2 linked regions of the Oryzias latipes genome follow. The protein of the gene in region 2 interacts with the protein of the main gene of each other region in a pairwise test. Links are inferred from orthologs where the notes say so. Each region holds a gene or a part of one and is shown on either strand. Other genes may lie near its edges. The genes, in order: pinx1 and aida.

The links.
Region 1: the proteins of aida (region 2) and pinx1 interact in binary tests that used the Homo sapiens proteins (3 or more experiments, as listed by UniProt). The link is inferred for Oryzias latipes from reciprocal best matches to the Homo sapiens genes AIDA and PINX1.

What each region holds. Positions count from the first base shown.
Region 1 is NC_019882.2:13,955,683-13,960,095, forward strand, and holds the start of pinx1 (PIN2/TERF1-interacting telomerase inhibitor 1), read right to left. Parts: upstream 2,818-4,413; 5' UTR 2,765-2,817; coding exon 2,746-2,764; intron 2,067-2,745; coding exon 1,957-2,066; intron 1-1,956. UniProt on the Homo sapiens protein: Microtubule-binding protein essential for faithful chromosome segregation. Mediates TRF1 and TERT accumulation in nucleolus and enhances TRF1 binding to telomeres. Inhibits telomerase activity. May inhibit cell proliferation and act as tumor suppressor.
Region 2 is NC_019882.2:5,932,564-5,937,108, reverse strand, and holds the start of aida (axin interactor, dorsalization-associated protein), read right to left. Parts: upstream 2,907-4,545; 5' UTR 2,711-2,906; coding exon 2,604-2,710; intron 974-2,603; exon of another isoform or gene 695-973; intron 291-694; coding exon 224-290; intron 140-223; coding exon 86-139; intron 1-85. Other genes in the region: E3 ubiquitin-protein ligase RNF8, read left to right, coding at 3,760-3,882, 4,006-4,134. UniProt on the Homo sapiens protein: Acts as a ventralizing factor during embryogenesis. Inhibits axin-mediated JNK activation by binding axin and disrupting axin homodimerization. This in turn antagonizes a Wnt/beta-catenin-independent dorsalization pathway activated by AXIN/JNK-signaling.

The sequences.
Region 1 (4,413 bases), about 8.0 Mb from region 2:
TTATTACACTATCAAAAGGAACAATAGGCACAACAAGCACAAATAATTATTGTAAACTAATGCACTCAAAAGGTCCAACATGAGTTTAAAGTCTCACTCCGATCATTTTTTTCATCTATTTTAAAAGCGTTCCATATTGGCTTTTTTAAAATCATGTTTTTTGGGACATAGTTTCTGCAGACCATAAGAAAATTGCCTCCAAGTTGTGGTTGGGACCATTGGCGCGGTGTAAATCCGCCACTAACTCCCAACATTCATCTGTTAACACGCTTTTTAAACAACGACCCTGAAGTTGGCTTCCGATTCACAGCTTCCGATTCGCGAAGGCACTAAAAGAACATTCCGCTGCATTTTTTGCATTAAGATCACCTTAGACCAGGTCCTGTTCAAAAACCGCTGGACCTGGACTGCTCAAACCTGGATTAAATTATAATTAAGATAGTAAAGAACACATTAAACACAGTTTCTGATTTGTGAAACCTTCTTCTGATTTGTGAAAATGTGAAATAGGTTGATTTTTTATCGCATCTTACGCACTGAGTCCACCTTAGACCAGGTCCTGTTCAAAAACCGCTGGACCTGAACTGCTCAAACCTGGATTAAATTATGCATTAGATAGTAAAGAACACATTAAACCCAGTTTCTGATTTGTGAAACCTTCCTCTGATTTGTAAAATAAGTTGATTTTTATCGCTTTTTCTCAGACAAGGTCCTGTTCATGAAATTTGGGTGGAAATGTATTTTTTTATTCCTTAACACTTTTATTTTTTATACTGCATTGTACTATTGTATTTCTCCACACAGGTACGAGCCGGTGGCCCTAACATATCACCTGGGTGACCAAAATCACTTTGTTGCAATACACAGACTTCTGCCCAGACAAAAGCTTGGACCTTTTACGATGCACTACAGGAATCCAAGAACGCTAGACAAGGCGACATCAAAATCTCAACATTCAAAAGAAACTGGGAAACAGATGTCAGATTGGACAAATAGTTATAGTCATGGTTAGCATGAACCCCTGACTTAAGTTTTGTTTTTTTGTTCAATATTTCTTGGTTTGTTTTCTGATTTACTTTAGAGTTCCTGTTACGGTGTTTTCCTTAAAGTTGTCCTTCCCTTGTCCCCATTATCCTTAAATTGCATAAAATTTGATGAAATGATACTATTTCCCACAGCGGTTTTTGAACAGGACCTGGTCTGAAGTGGACTCCGTGCGTAAAATGCGATAAAAAATCAACCTATTTCACATTTTCACAAATCAGAAACTGTGTTTAATGTGTTCTTTACTATCTAATGCATAATTTAATCCAGGTTTGAGCAGTCCAGGTCCTGCGGTTTTTGAACAGGACCTGGTCTGAAGTGGACTTAGTGCGTAAAATGTGATAAAAATCAACCTATTTAACATTTTCACAAATCAGAAACTGTGTTTAATGTGTTCTTTACTATCTTATTTATAATTTGATCCAGGTTTGAGCAGTCCAGGTCCAGGACCTGGTCTGAAGTGGACTCAGTGCGTAAAATGGTATAAAAATCAACCTATTTCACATTTTCACAAATCAGAGGAAGGTTTCACAAATCAGAAACTGGGTTTAATGTGTTCTTTACTATCGAATGCATAATTTAACCCAGGTTTGAGCAGTCCAGGTCCAGCGGTTTTTGAACAGGACCCGGTTTTACGGTGGTCTTAGTGTTTAGGGCCCTCGCGAATCGGAAGCTGTGAATCGGAAGCTAACTTCAGGGTCGTTTTTAAACAGCATTTTTCCCTTCTGCTTGTGATTCAACACGATTTGAATAAAGAAATACTCAGAAATGTCATTTTAAGCTTAATTTTCCTTAAATGTTTCACCCATCTTAAGAAAAAAGCAACGAGAAAGAAGTTCTGAAAAACAAACAAAAACTATATCTGGATTGCATTCACTTTTAAAGATATCAGCATAAGTTTAGACCGCTTACCTTGCCCTTGGACCAACCCATTCGCTCCAGCATCTTCTGGCCAAATTTAGAGTCATCTTTACTCCAAGTGCTGTTCCTGGGGTCAACCGACCACTTTTGTTTCCTTCGGGCTAAATTCACAAAAGCAGCAGCATTGTTACTCAACAGTCTGTCATTAAATAATGACAACTAGACTAGTATATAGAGCTCAAAACGCAGAGTGAATATAAAACAGTGCTGAAGATAAACATATGTAATGTGCTTTAACATTTTTTATACAAACATCATGACAAAAAATACATCTTGATTTTAATCCAAGGACAAGCAAGTGAGAATGTAGCACACACAAACGTGTAAACTACTATCCAGATCTTACAGAGAGTTCTACAAAAAAAATAATAAAATAAAAAATAGGCCACGATTATTTTTCAAAAAATAAACAGTCAAAAAGCTGATTTACAGCGTTTGCAAATCCTTCAGTGTTCGACATATTTTTCAGATACCCCTACTCTTCCTGCTACTGTAGTCAAGCTCTGTGCTTATAAGAGGCAGCCGGGCAAGTTGAAAAACAAATACAGCGATGACTGCAGTTTGACACATGTTGTAAAGTAAGAAACACGTGTTTAAAGAAACCGATGGGGGAAAATGCTAAAGCTAATGCTAACCTTGTTAACACTTTGTTAATGGCAACTCAAAAAACCGTTTATAATTTATACCGTTAGGCATGGTGCTTTGGCTAATATCACAATGAAGAAAAAAAATAAACAAAGAAAAGGAATATATACACACATGTAAGAGAAAAGTACTTACGTTCAGCTAGCATAGACATCTTGGGTCCTCAGTCTTGTGGACGCTCGAGCATTTAGGTACCTTCCAAAATGCCTGAATAAAATAAATCACTGTTGTCATTTTAAACCTTAAGTATCTGTAAATTAAATAAAATGACATTTTTGTTTACAATTTATATATAAAACAATATTCTTTGACTTTTTTATATTTAAACAAAGACTTTATCACCGAACTTTGCCTTTTACAGCCCAAATGTTTTACCAATAGAGGGCGCCACAGCACCTCAGAGTCCGGTTGGGATCTGCAGTGTTACTTGAGTTCAGCTCAAAAGTCTCAACTTCAGCAAACATGTGAACTTCTCCCACTTGGAATGCCATTCTAGGAACTTTTTCAGGTAATAAAAACACGTGAATAAGATGAATAACTGCTATCCAAACCTAAAATACGTTGTATTCTGTAAGGTCACAAAGAAAAGTGACAAATTTAGGTTGTGGAAGAGTGATTTAGGAACTAAATGACATTTTTAAACTCGGATTTTCAGTCCAAAAAACAAACAAACAGTCTCATACCCTAAAGAAAAACAAAAGATTTAAAACAATTATTTTCAAGGCATAACCAAGACATGTTTTGTGTGGTATGTTTATAAAATGTTAGTAAATTCTGTGGGTATAGGAAAAATACACTCATACTACAAAACATTTGCTCGTAGGTCACAGTCAACATTGCATTGGCCAGAGAATAAATGTACTTTTGCGTGAGGATCAGCACCATAACATGTTATTTTAGCCTTATCTATTACAACTGATCATAACAACTTATAATAGCAAACTTTATATTATCTCATAAATGGATAAAACAGTCTGCAAGACAAGAAATAAAAATTTAAACAAAGTAGGATTGCAATAAATGTCAGACAGGCATTCACTGTATAAACTTTGTGCATTCAAAGAAATTGTAGTTTACTTAAAAAACAATACTAATTGTTTGTGATTGGCTGCGGTTTGTAAGGAGGCAGATTCATGTTAGCTGTTAAAAAAAGAAAAAAAGAACATATTAAAAAAAATGTTGCAGCTAAACACACAAGGGAAATGAAAAAGCATAAAACAGAAATGAGCTCAAATTTGTTCCTCAGCATGTTTCTGTAGTAAACATATGGGGTTATTCTAATATTTCTGTTAAGTTTACAATGTGTACTTTGGTTTAAAGCTGTTTTCCTTTTTTTTAATTCACAATGTCTATTTTCCACATTTACAATCTGGTTTTTCATTCACTGTAACCTGATTCTGATTTGACCCAGCGTAAATGGAGAAAAAGTACCAGTAGGTTTTTTTCAACACTAGAAGCAGAGACCACAGCATAACTCAGCATTTTCCAAGCTTGAAATACAAATGCTTCAATTCAAAAAAAAATATTTGAAATGTTTTCTTTTAGTAGAAATAAAGAGCTCCATAATATGCAAAAACAACTAGGCTTTTTTATGACTACTACCCATTATTCTATTTTTACATCCACTGTACTATTTACATCAAATCAAAGATTTGCAGAATATAGAATTCAAATTGTGCAACACTAACTTAACCCTTGTGCTATCTTAGATGACCCCACCCTTATAGTGACGTGTTCTCCCTACCATGACAAAGGTGGATAAAGGTGGAAAGATTTCATTTAATCCATGGACACCAGTGAAGA
Region 2 (4,545 bases):
TACATCCAAAAGTGACATCCAAGTGGACTTTCTTTATGTCTGCCCTTACACACACAAACACAAAGACAATAAAAGTGACACAAACCTGCAGACTCGCACTTCTCATCTCCAGGCATGTTGCAATCTTCCCTAAAGTTTTCTGGACAGAAAAAAGAAACGTTGTTTTTAGCTGCAGAAAAGGATAGGAGCGCTGCATAAATTTGCAGTAAATCAATAAGATCACCTTCTGCTCTTCTGTGAAATCTGTGGAACTTGTTGTGTGGATCTCTTTTTGCATTTGCCTCGCTAGACTAAATAAAACCACAAATAAACACAGAACATCGTTAGTTCTTACAAAACACAATAAATCAGACATTGTGAAGAATAGTTAGAAACTGCCTTTAACTTTTATTACACTAATGGTTTAAACTTAATTCACTGAGCATGTATTGTCATCTCAAAATTGTATTACATTTGAAGACAGCACAGCCAAGCTATTGTTCTAACAGTTTCTTCTCATACTCCCTTTTTCTGTGCATGTGTGATCTCCTGAGCAGGCCTCAGACTTATCTTCACTTTAGCCTTGGAACTGCTCTCCAGCAGTAACCTGTGGGCGTGTTTTTCACACGGGGTCCATCGGACGATCTTCTGAATATGCAAATGCATTTATACCAACCCCATCCCTGAGCTCGTTGGTTCGGACTTTGAATGCACCATGTTCATCTGTCTGTCCCCTTCGTGTTTGTACGAAGTAAAACCTCCACAAAAGATAAGTAACTGTCGACAAATCCAGTTTCTTCACATTTGCTCCTTCTGAGCCGGCCGGCACGCCCTGGACATCGCTGGAACCCCTGGGGGGGGTTGCCCGAAAACCGCTAGCCACATCCTCAGCATTGAAACATCCGCCTTCAGGATCGGCGGCCCTTGCCCTTGGATCCGGTGGTGCCCTCGGCGACTTCGGACCCTCATCAAATGGCGAGGTTCATTGCTTGAAGTGAGTACGCCACACAGAAAGTCTGTCCTCTCTTTACTTATTAGGGCTTTATGTTGACTGTGTCTGTGTCCTTGTGTGTGCGTGCATCAACGTTGGGGGAAGAATAGAGAAACGGCTGCAGTCCGCTGCGCGAGCACGCTGAACAGAGCACCGCTTGCAGGCAAGGTGCTGCGCGTGCACGAGTCATCCTGCGCGGACGGGAAAAGTGTGGGCGGCGCGCGAGGCTGCTAGTGTAGGCGCCTTCCCTCCTCGGTGGGAATGGCAGTGTAGGGATGGAAGTGTAGGCATAAGTGTAGGAGCAGCCGCGGCGAGTGAGCCGAAGAAATAGAGCCTTGGGAGGCTGAGTGTGACTTTTGAGACGAAACGGAGCTCCGGGGAAACTATGTGTGTGTAACGCTTTTTATATCTCTCTGTCTGTGTCTGAGTTTGCCCTTTTTCGACGGCCCCTGTGGTGTGTGCTCGCTTTGAGTAATGACTCCTTATAAAACAAAGATAAGTAACTGTCTCTGAGTCATTATTCATTATTTCTGTGTGCAAGAAACTGACGGGGTTACGAATTAATACAATACAGTCCTTTCTAGAAAATCCAGTTTCTTCACAGACATGTTAAGTTCTTATCGTTTACTTAAAAAAACTGAAAATAAAATGCTTTTATGAAGGACATGTTAAAATGTTTCCATCACAACTGAAATTATTTTTAAAAGTCCCCTTCCGATCATCTTTTGATCTTTTGTCAAAGTGTTCCCAGTGCTCTTTTAGTTATGATTATGCAACAAAAATGGCGAGCTGTCCAGTCTAGTTGTCTACAAATGGATGCATAAGAATGGAACAGGGAGCTTGTTTTCTACGTCACAAATACAATCTTTTACAAACAGATTTTTTTTCTTCTGCTCTTGAATAAGGAAAAAAGAAATTAGAGAGGAAAATGTTAACTTTATGTTCTTAATGTTTGTCCTTCATCGTGAGAAAAATGCCACAAAAGCATGTTAAAAATTCATCTGAGTGGGAACTTTCAATTTAAATGTCAGTTTTAACCCAGATATTATTTCTTTTTTGGGGGGAAATGCATGTGGTCACCCATTTTATGCAGAAATATTGCAGAAAATGTCCCTAACGGCGTTCCATACATTTGAAGTTTGTACATATTAAATTGCAGTCTGTGTATTCACGCCCTCTTGTGGCCAACAAAAGCACTACCAGGTAAACCCGATATTAATATAATAAAGACAATTACAGCAGATAATCATAATAATTAAGTAATAAAGCAGATCACTTCATGAAAAATGTGATTTTTGAAAAGTTAAAAAATGGCGTTTCTCTCTGAACACAAAGAACCCGCCCAGAACAACGAGAGGGTGTGGCTGACTGTTTCTCAATTCTCCGCGGAGCAGCTGCTGGCTCCTTTAGAGCAGAAAACACACACACACGCACACAAACACAACACAACACCCAAGACGAAACTGAAACCGGGATGCAGCAACCGCACGGAGCTCTGCTGCCACATCCCGTCATCATGGAGGGCAGGGATGTATTTACTGCTGACAGCTGCCGGGGCAACTTCTGTCTCCCACGGTCCTTATCCCCGCAGCTTTTACCACAGGCGGAGCAAACACGCATGTTGTAGACTTACATTTGGTATTCATCTATCGCCTCCACCAACTGCCCCCACGAGTCAAAGTCTGAGCCTTTCCTAAAACTGGCGTGCCATTTCTGGATAGTCTTGTTTACATCAGACATTTTGTCGGGAGGATTCGTGCGGCGCTCTCAGGACAGCATATCCGAGGAGGAGGCTCATCTGCGGGGCTCCAGCGTCGGCCAGTTTGCCTGCTCGTCCGGTCCAGAGTTTGGCGCACAAACCGGTGACACCCCGACCAAGCCCTTTCAGCCTGGCCGACCCTGATGTGACATCCGCGGGCGAAAGGAAGTCCCGCCCGAAAGCCTTGGGTTTGCTCGATTTGAAGCGCGGGGTCGCCCGGAAGATCTGAAGCCTCGTGTTACTATTACATTATTATTATTATTATTATTATTATTATTATTATTATTATTATTATTATTATTATTATTATTATTATTAATAATAATAATAATAATAATAATAATAATAATAATAATAATAATAATAATAATTGTTAAAATGAGAAAATTCACACACAAAACAAACAAAACAAAAATATTCATCCTGTTTATAACACAAAAAAAACAAGTAAACAAACATAGGTTCCAGTCTTTAACGTAACTTACATAACAATCACATGCACCTTGTAGTTGTTTCCTTTTAATACATCGGGAATATTTTGAACTCTCACGTGTTTTACAATCAAACTCATTATTTTTTAGAGTGGTGCTTGATATTACTTTATTGAGTTATTAAAAAACAATTTAACTAAAGTATAGACATATTTTCAAACAAGCTGTTTTAAACTTAATAAATAGTATAAATGTTAGCAATAAGTTCAGCCATTAATTGTTCTTTAGAATATATTTAAACCATTTTAACCACTTTACAACAATTAAAGTAAAAAAAAGCCTCTTCAGAGTGTAATGTAATCATCGTTCAATTTAATATATATGTATTTTATTTTTATTATTATAAAAAATATAATTATAGTCTCTTTGGTAAGAAAGCACCGTTGGGTGCCTTATTTTGAAACATCACATGAACACTTCCGGTGATTTCCGGTCTAGTAAAATTATCCCAGAGCTAGCATGGGAGCGTTATGTGACTGAGCAAAGTAACTGTTGCGGCGGCGTTATATCGTTTCTATACCTTTAAAAAATGAGATAATATGGAGAGTACAACCACGGAATCTTGTTCGGCAGAAGAGGAGGACAGCTCGGACTCGGAGGTGGCGTGTCTCATGAGAGTGGGGAAAAAATCCGAGTGGCTTCGCTTGTTCGGAAACACAGAGGTGCTAATGTTCGCTAACTAGCTAAATTAGCTAAATAATCGCATACTTTTCTGTGTTTCTGGTCCATTTCCCCCCCTGTGTTTTCAGCAGTTTGAACTGTGGTTAAATTGGTTTCGACTGCAGGTCACCGTTGGACGCGGGGTGAACGTGACGTACCAGCTCCTGTCAGCGAGTTGTCCTCTGATGATCTCCAGGCTGCACTGCACCTTCAAGAGAAAAGAAGACGGACAGTGGACGGTGACGGACAAGAAGGTGAAATGACGTTCACCATAGATATGTCAGACTTAGGATAATTATTTATGAAATGATTGGAAAATTAAAACGTAAAAGAAGACATAAGCACATAAAGATATACATGCACTTTCTAGGAGGTCATTTAATTACTTAATTGGATAGACATGCACAGTAATACATACAATACAAGACATGGAGTCCATTAAATATTAATTTTGTCAAATGAAGTTTAATTAATATTTTCAAAAGGGGGTGGGAGGAAGCGATTTTATGTTATCGTACCCCTTATTATATTTGTGTGCTTCATTGTTTGCTTTAAAGGCAAGTTTTCCATTTGAAATGTTGCATAAAAATTAGAATTCTGGCTATTTAAATTTAAAAAATGACTATTCGCACGTAATTTTTCAAATATGTGTGGCTATACTTTCT